2 linked regions of the Lepisosteus oculatus genome follow. The protein of the gene in region 2 interacts with the protein of the main gene of each other region in a biochemical or structural test. Links are inferred from orthologs where the notes say so. Each region holds a gene or a part of one and is shown on either strand. Other genes may lie near its edges.

The links. The genes of interacting proteins can lie anywhere in the genome.
Region 1: the proteins of chaf1b (region 2) and histone chaperone ASF1 form a complex in vitro, tested with the Homo sapiens proteins (2 studies listed by BioGRID and IntAct). The link is inferred for Lepisosteus oculatus from reciprocal best matches to the Homo sapiens genes CHAF1B and ASF1A.

The regions. Positions count from the first base shown.
Region 1 is NC_090704.1:23,424,613-23,428,366, forward strand, and holds the start of histone chaperone ASF1, read left to right. Parts: upstream 1-1,056; 5' UTR 1,057-1,142; coding exon of another isoform or gene 1,143-1,190; 5' UTR 1,191-1,342; coding exon 1,343-1,451; intron 1,452-3,754. UniProt on the Homo sapiens protein: Histone chaperone that facilitates histone deposition and histone exchange and removal during nucleosome assembly and disassembly.
Region 2 is NC_090710.1:18,474,384-18,478,137, reverse strand, and holds the start of chaf1b (chromatin assembly factor 1 subunit B), read right to left. Parts: upstream 2,346-3,754; 5' UTR 2,243-2,345; intron 765-2,242; 5' UTR 753-764; coding exon 627-752; intron 1-626. UniProt on the Homo sapiens protein: Acts as a component of the histone chaperone complex chromatin assembly factor 1 (CAF-1), which assembles histone octamers onto DNA during replication and repair.

The DNA of each region.
Region 1 (3,754 bases), on a different chromosome or scaffold from region 2:
CGATTGAATTCTAGTCCAACAATTCCTTGGTCCAACAATGATCCATTGGTCCAATTAATCACCATTTTAGTGTCTTTACTTTGACAGTGATGACACATTGTGCTCTAACTCATTCTTTTTAATATAGGGTTTTGTCATTCCAAGCACACATTTGTCCATGGTTTTGGGGGGTGCCTAGTAGCTTCTCTATCACTGTTGTATTTAGAGTTCAGGGTTCAAGTCCACATTTTAATACTTTCATAATAACTAATACTTTCATTTTAAGGCAAAAAACATTTTTTCCACAATAATTATGATATATGACACTATTGTCACTGCCATAGGATCTAGCTATATATTGATGAGGGGTATCATCATTACCTGCTATGAAAGTAAATGTAGGTACTCATTGTATCATGGACTTTGGATATATATTCACCCATTTTTGCCATTTTCTCTCATAGTTGTTCAACAGATATTGGCTTAGAGCAGACCAACTAATTATTAGAATCTTGTCTGTAAATGGGTGAGCCCTGTGGTGTGTGCTATGGGTCAACAATTTATAGCCATTTTATAATCGACCAATAATGGGAACAATAGTCATTTTAGAGCATTTTCTGCACCAGAAACATTGCAAACGATACGATTCAGAGATGCGGGAATGGTATTTTGGATTTACCTGCTCTGCCGGTGCATGCAAAAAGAGTTTTGGTCTAACAAGTGCCTAATTACCTAATTAAGATGTTCACATCCTACACAGTTATGGTATCACTGTTACTGTAAAGGGATTTTAAAGTCTGTATTAGCAGTTCTTCCATTAGCCTGTTCCTTGAGGGAAGGGAAGAAAAATCATTAGATAGTATACAGCAACAACTGCGAAGTTTACGGGCTAAAAAAACAGCCTTTTTTAAAACTATTATTGTGAGAGAAGTAGTTCTTAAAGTGAAAGATAGGTTTGGTTGTGTTCAAGCTGAGCAAAGGAAAAACAATGTTTCGGGAAAATGTGCATGCATCACTTATTTAACCAGCAGGTGGCGCCCACAATAAAAGTTACAAATAATTTACTGTACTGTGTGTGCAAAAAGATCCAAATCCTCCGCCTTCCCAAGGATCATCTGCTGGGCTGAAGGCTGCTCTCGCAGCTCTGAGCTGTGCAGCCGGTCATGTACAATTTAATGTCACCCGTAGGCACAGAAAAACGGAGATATTCGGTATTTGACGGCGTTACTTCTATTTAAAAAACTGGATTACTAGTTGGCTGCGCTGTGCGATACTTAGTATTTGACGTGGGTGGCGTGTTTACTAGAAAGCGCCGTGTTTTGTAGCGCTGACTCCGCACTTAATAGTTTTCGTGTAGCAAAATATGGCAAAGGTTCAGGTGAACAATGTAGTAGTGTTGGATAACCCATCTCCCTTTTTCAATCCTTTTCAGTTTGAGATTACTTTCGAGTGCATTGAAGATTTGCCCGAAGGTAAGTAAGTGTACTTCTGTTTCAAAACTGTAAATTGCTAAGAAGGTAGAGAGAAAACAATTGATTGGAGGTTGCGAGGCCTGGATTTGCTAATAAATATGTAACAGTTTTGTAATTAACAATTGTGCATAACGGAGTACTAGTAAGTGGTGTTTATTTTTATTTTCAAATGACTCTAACGCGGATATCTAGAAATTCTGTAATGGAATGTATTCTATCACCGAGGGGTCGCGTTATCATTGACTCAGGTAATCGATTTATTTAGGCTCTGTATTACGGATAAGGTAGCCATGTTGTCAGGAATATTCTAGTTGTTGGACAGTATGGTATGAGTGCATTTAAAAATATGTATTTTTCTTTTGTATAATAAAAGCAAAGTGACAGTAGACCCACTGACAATCGTAGTTAGCTAGATGTATGGAGAGCATGACCACGTCTAATTATAGAAGTTTTTGTTTTTACAAATAAAGCGTGTAACTAAAAACATTAAAATAAAATTATTTGAATATAAACTTGCGAAAAATGAATCTGTTAAAACTATCTTGGTTAATGTATGAAGTGCTCAATCATGTTTCGCCACAGGAAGGAAGTAGGCTGTAACTATAACTAGCATCAATCCTTGGCTAGGCTCCTACCAGGATTGATGCTAGTTATAGCCAATAATCCGTATTCTGTCTAAATTGGCTGTGTATATTTATAGTTACTATAATCTTTATGCGTCCGATGGAAAGCTTAGTTTTATCACGCTTTTGGTGTAAGTGGAATTTTTCAATTTGTCAGATAGGATTCCTTAATCGCCATGCCAATTAACACAGTTTTAAACTTTTTTGTATGTAAGAGTACAAAAACAATAATACAGTAAAAGTTAGTCGCCCCACGTTTTTGAAGTAATATTATTCTCTATCATCGTTTTTCGCTGTAATTGGCGTGGGTGAAGTCAGTGCGGCGGGTTACAGTATGTGTCAAATCGCGAGCGGGGCAGCATTTTTTTTCTGTGGGGAAAAATATTTCCTTTGAACATTTTTTCCACCTCGTTATATTTATTCACCGTTGGCGTGGGCAGTCGCATTGAGAGTGTTTTAAATGTCACTTTGCTTATACTTTAGGCTAATACGGAATTTGTAGCACCCATTATGGATAGTCTAATAATATTTCTTAGTACTGATTAATGGTAAACAGCGACACATTCACAGTCCCTTCATTTAAATGAAAGCTAGAAGTGTTTGAACCAGACATTGTTATGTAACCTCCAAAATGTACCCTTTCTCAGCAAAAGTTACAATACGTTACAATAATGTGTATCTACCAGAGGGTCGTCTTAAAATTCCATGTTATGCGAGATGATTGGTTAATGACACAAACCACTATGATTTTCTGAGACGATAGAAATCTTGTGAGTACTGTATTTGCGTGTGTGTTTGAGAAAACCAGCCTTATACTTTAAGGTCATAGGCTTAGTCTTATGCTTTCCAATCAGGGGACTGATGAATACCTTAAGAGGTTATCAATAGCTTGTTGGCAATCCCACAATCCAGAAGTATTAAAACTATTTTCACATCTCTTAGGTTTATTTGCATGCTTACTTGCAGTAAATTTTATAGGTGCTTTCCAGTGCCTTAGGTGCTGAAAGCAGCCAACTGCTTTTCATAATTTGGAAATTAGAACTAAGGTGGTGTCAAAGAGAGAAAGAAATACATTTATCTGTTTACCTTTAATGCAACCAGTTGGCCAGTGTACCTAGGTCTCACTTTATCTTGTATCTTGTTTCAAAATACAATTAGTTTTTAACAAGATATTGCATAATTACAGACCTCAGAAATAGATGTTGAAAATAATGGATGGTTCAAAGTGATAATCATTGCTAGAAATGACTTGCTGTCCTCTAGTGTGGTGAGTAGTCCTTTGTTCTGTTGTCTGTCGACAGTAGATTATGGGCATTAAACTGTATTGTAAAGCTTTTTTGTCTACATAGCAACACTTTGAAACATAAAAAAGCTCTTTGCTTTAAAAGTAGATAAAGATGGAGAGAACAATATCAGTTTTTCCCATTGGTGATTTCCTGGGAGGGTGTTGTCACACAATGCCATTCACAGACGTGACAGTGCATGTTCACAAGTCATCTGTCAGGCATGATAATGGGGCCCCAAACCACGAAGGAGGTTGATCATGAATTTGTCTTACAGTATTGTTGACATGAGCTTTATCGAGACCTTATGGGATAAGCTGCACTGCCATTTTCATAACTTTTTTTTCCCTCCAAAACAAGCTTCAGTTTACCAGATTTCCAGAGTGAGAAACTGGGA
Region 2 (3,754 bases):
AGCACATGATACAAAAGCAACCTAAAACAAACCTCCACCCTTTATTTTAACTTGCACTTTCCCATTCAAACAGTATTGATGCAAATAAGTGCACAGAATAAAGAACCACACTATTATAATACCAAGACCCGGACAGGTATTAAACATGGCAGCAAACTGTGTGGAGCTATAACGGGAAAGTACAAACAGGGACAACTATACAAGGAGGACATTCAAGAGTACAAACTGGCGACATACAAGGCTGGTGTAAAATGAGAACAATGTCAAAAGTACTAGAGCTGCAGACCAAAATGTCATTTTCTTGATGCTTTTATTTATTTGAACCCACGCAGAATTAAAGTGGGCCACTAGTCTCTGATCAACCCATAGTTCTTCCCCTGTCCACCGAGTACAATTAGGCTGCCAAAGGAATTTCTAGTTCCAAGCTAACATTCTGGTAAACTGAAAGCACAAAAAGCCCAATAACTGCATAGCTACACGATACCTCCGCTCCCTCATAACACAAAACCTCTCTACACCACCTTGAACAAAAGAGATTCCTAAACTAGCTGCCCCGCATCACACAACCTCTCCAGCAGCTCCCCCTCTTGGGGAAGTGAAAGAGCACTGGTCTACGGGTCACTTGCCCGAACAGTAGTGTCCACTCCTGCGGTGGCCAGCCTGTTGACTTTCCGATCTCCGCCATGCTGGAAGTCAATGCTGTACACTGGTTCCTTGTTGTGCCAGGCTATTTCACAAGTGATGACTTTCATCCTGGACCGCACCTATAAGACAAGCTGCGGTGAGCACAGGTGGCGATGCAGAAGAACCAGTCGCGCTTCAGACCTCCTCCCCCTGCAGACTTGAAACCCAGAGCAGGGAGATGGTCAGACACCTGACCATGTCGCTGCTGTCCTGTGTTAGGCACTGCACTTAACACAGAATTATGCAGATGTGTTGCTATGGCGTTGCAGACAGTTTTAATCTGGCAACACTCCACACTGAACCTTGCTTTTTTTTAAGGAGTAAAGCACAAGCTGACGGATTAAGCAGCTTGGTGCACTCTGCTGATCCCAGGTTGGCTGTGACAAAACAGTTGGGGTGCTTTAATTCCTAGCAAAAGGGAACCCGTGGCAAAAACCTGCCTTCTCCATTGTCTCACCTTCCAAGAGACTGAGCCCAAATAAGCTTTCATTATAAGTGTCTGCCAGCTGGAGACGAGACAAGCTGCTTCTGTTACTCTTAAGCACAAATTACATTTTGTGTATGGAGCTGGTGAGGCTAATGAACTCAAAGATGCTGTTTTTCAAAGACAACCTGACATGAAAATGAAAATGTATTAATAAACTACTCAATTTCTACAGCGCAACAGGCTTACTGCTCTGTTGCTGAATTTCTGAATACTCTGTTTGAATTGATGTGGTTTAAAAGAAGGATAAGGGATAGGTAGTTTAAAAGCCTTCTACGGTCAGGTACTAGTTACTAAGGCCTAAATAATTCGCAAAAACATAGTCCAATGGGATTCTAATTTGTGTGTCACTACTTCCTAACAACCCATACCTGGGAAAAAAAAGAAAAAAAATGGTAAATGCAATAATTGTGTCAGTCCGTACAAGTGAATACTAAAATACAGCACTACAATAGCAACAATAAGTGGTTGAGACATTTGCCAAGAAATCAAATACAACTCCAGCAGAAGAAGAGAGGCTGTGATCTCCCATTATGTCACAGATAACCTGTCCACAGTTCAGAGAAGCAGCCACTTTTACAGCAAACCGAGCACGGTGAGGGATTTTGATACGTTCAGCGACCGATAACTTCAAAACCTTACAGGAAACATACTCTCTTTCACACAAACAGACCCTGCTATGAGCACTGCAGATAGATGTTCGGCCTGTTATTCACAGCATTATCTCGCTATATGAGATGTACAGTCCTAAAAAAAAAAAACTCAAAACAAAAAAAAACTGATCAGTGAAAATACGACACGCAAAAGTTTGGAAAATTAAAACAAGTTTTTCAAAAGCTTTCAGAAGGTCACGTTTCTTATTTAAATCATATTCACTCTGTATTTGACCGGTTGTTTCTGAAGTGACTAGTGAGACGTAAACAGTTACATTCTAAAAGTTTTTTTGTCCCAACCGGCTCTTGAGTGGCGAAATATATATATGTGTGTGTGTGTACACCTGTACTTTCCCTATGCACGGTTCAGTATATTTAAAACGCGTTTAAAAAAAGTAAAAAGAAAAGATGCCAAACTTACCAGACTGACAAGCACTCCGCTCACTGTGATCCGCAGTGGCCGAACAGCTGAGTTTCCCGCGCTGCAGTGGGGGAGTTACTCGCCGGGAATCGTGGCCAGAACCGCCTTCATCATCCAACATGGCCGACTGAATTCGGCTCTTTCCGGAGGGTTTACGAGGAGAACCGAATACATTTCGAGGTGTCGAGCTGTAGCTGCAGAGGCATGGATACAGTTTGTGTATTGCAATAGGGGTTGACAAAACGGAGACGTGTAGTTACAGTACTGGGTTTAGCAAATAAACAAGAAGGGTATTATTATAACATTATTAGAAACATCAAATATTTTGTCCAAATAATAAAGTTACTCCTTTAAAAATTAAACACAAAAATAAGTTATATTCTTGACAGTATACTAAGCGCCAAAAGAATGTTGCCCCTCTAGGAATGCATCAATATTTGTAGAAAAATAAAGTAAAAAAAAACTGATGAAGAAATTAGATGTGGTTTCAATGACAGCACAGGCCTTCCTCAGGATCTGCTTGGCATAAAGCAGCCTTAAAAGCTCACCAATCATTTATGGGCTGAGATTTATGACATTTAGAAAGTATTTTTTCTTTTTGAATGTGTGAAGCAAACCAAGAAATATAACAATTAAAAAAATGAACAATAGTAAGTTAAATATTTTCCATTAAAGACCCATAAAATGCTATATACTAGGATACTTTCCAATTCCATCAGAACTTATTTTCTCAGACTATATAAGCACTGCATTTCAGTGAACTTGAATGGCTGTCAAACACAATTCCCAGATATGTGTCACAGTAACTATACCAGTGGATTGTTGTGGGAATTATATTGCTTTGTTTTTGACATATTCATCTCAAGGTAAGAAGTATCATCACACCAACAGACAATTTCATCCAGAATGGCTCCACATGTTTGTCCAGCCACTGAGAGCAAAGAGACTAATACACTAACATCAGCAAACCTGTTGCTTTGATTATTTTCAGTTTCTTTGACAGTCATCAGTATATACAGTAAGATGAAAAGGAGGGAGAAAGATCACAGCCTTGTGTTGAACCAGTGGAGTACAAACAGGGTCAGATGACAAACAACCTATTAAGAAATGCATTTGGTGTTCAATTGGTCAGAATTGTTCAGGTCTATGACTGACAATGACACATACTTTTAAGACCTGACTATTGTACAAGCACTAAATCATCTATTTAGCGAGGAGCTATACAGGTACAGGCGATGAGGTCATTTGATCTGTTGAACGCCAAGCCTGAGGAAATTCAAGAAAAAACACAAAAATGACATGGCCCCTCATCAAGCAAAAACCGACGTTGTGCCCTCGGTCTGGTACAGGCTGGACTAAACCACCACCTCATCACTTGTCAGGTGTTATCAAGGCCCCTGACCGGCATCGACAGGCAGGCCCAACTGTGATGGTCTGGGAAGACAGCCCTGCCCCCTGGCACAAAGCATGCCACAGATCCGCAGCTTATTCTGCTTTCAGCAGTGACCACAC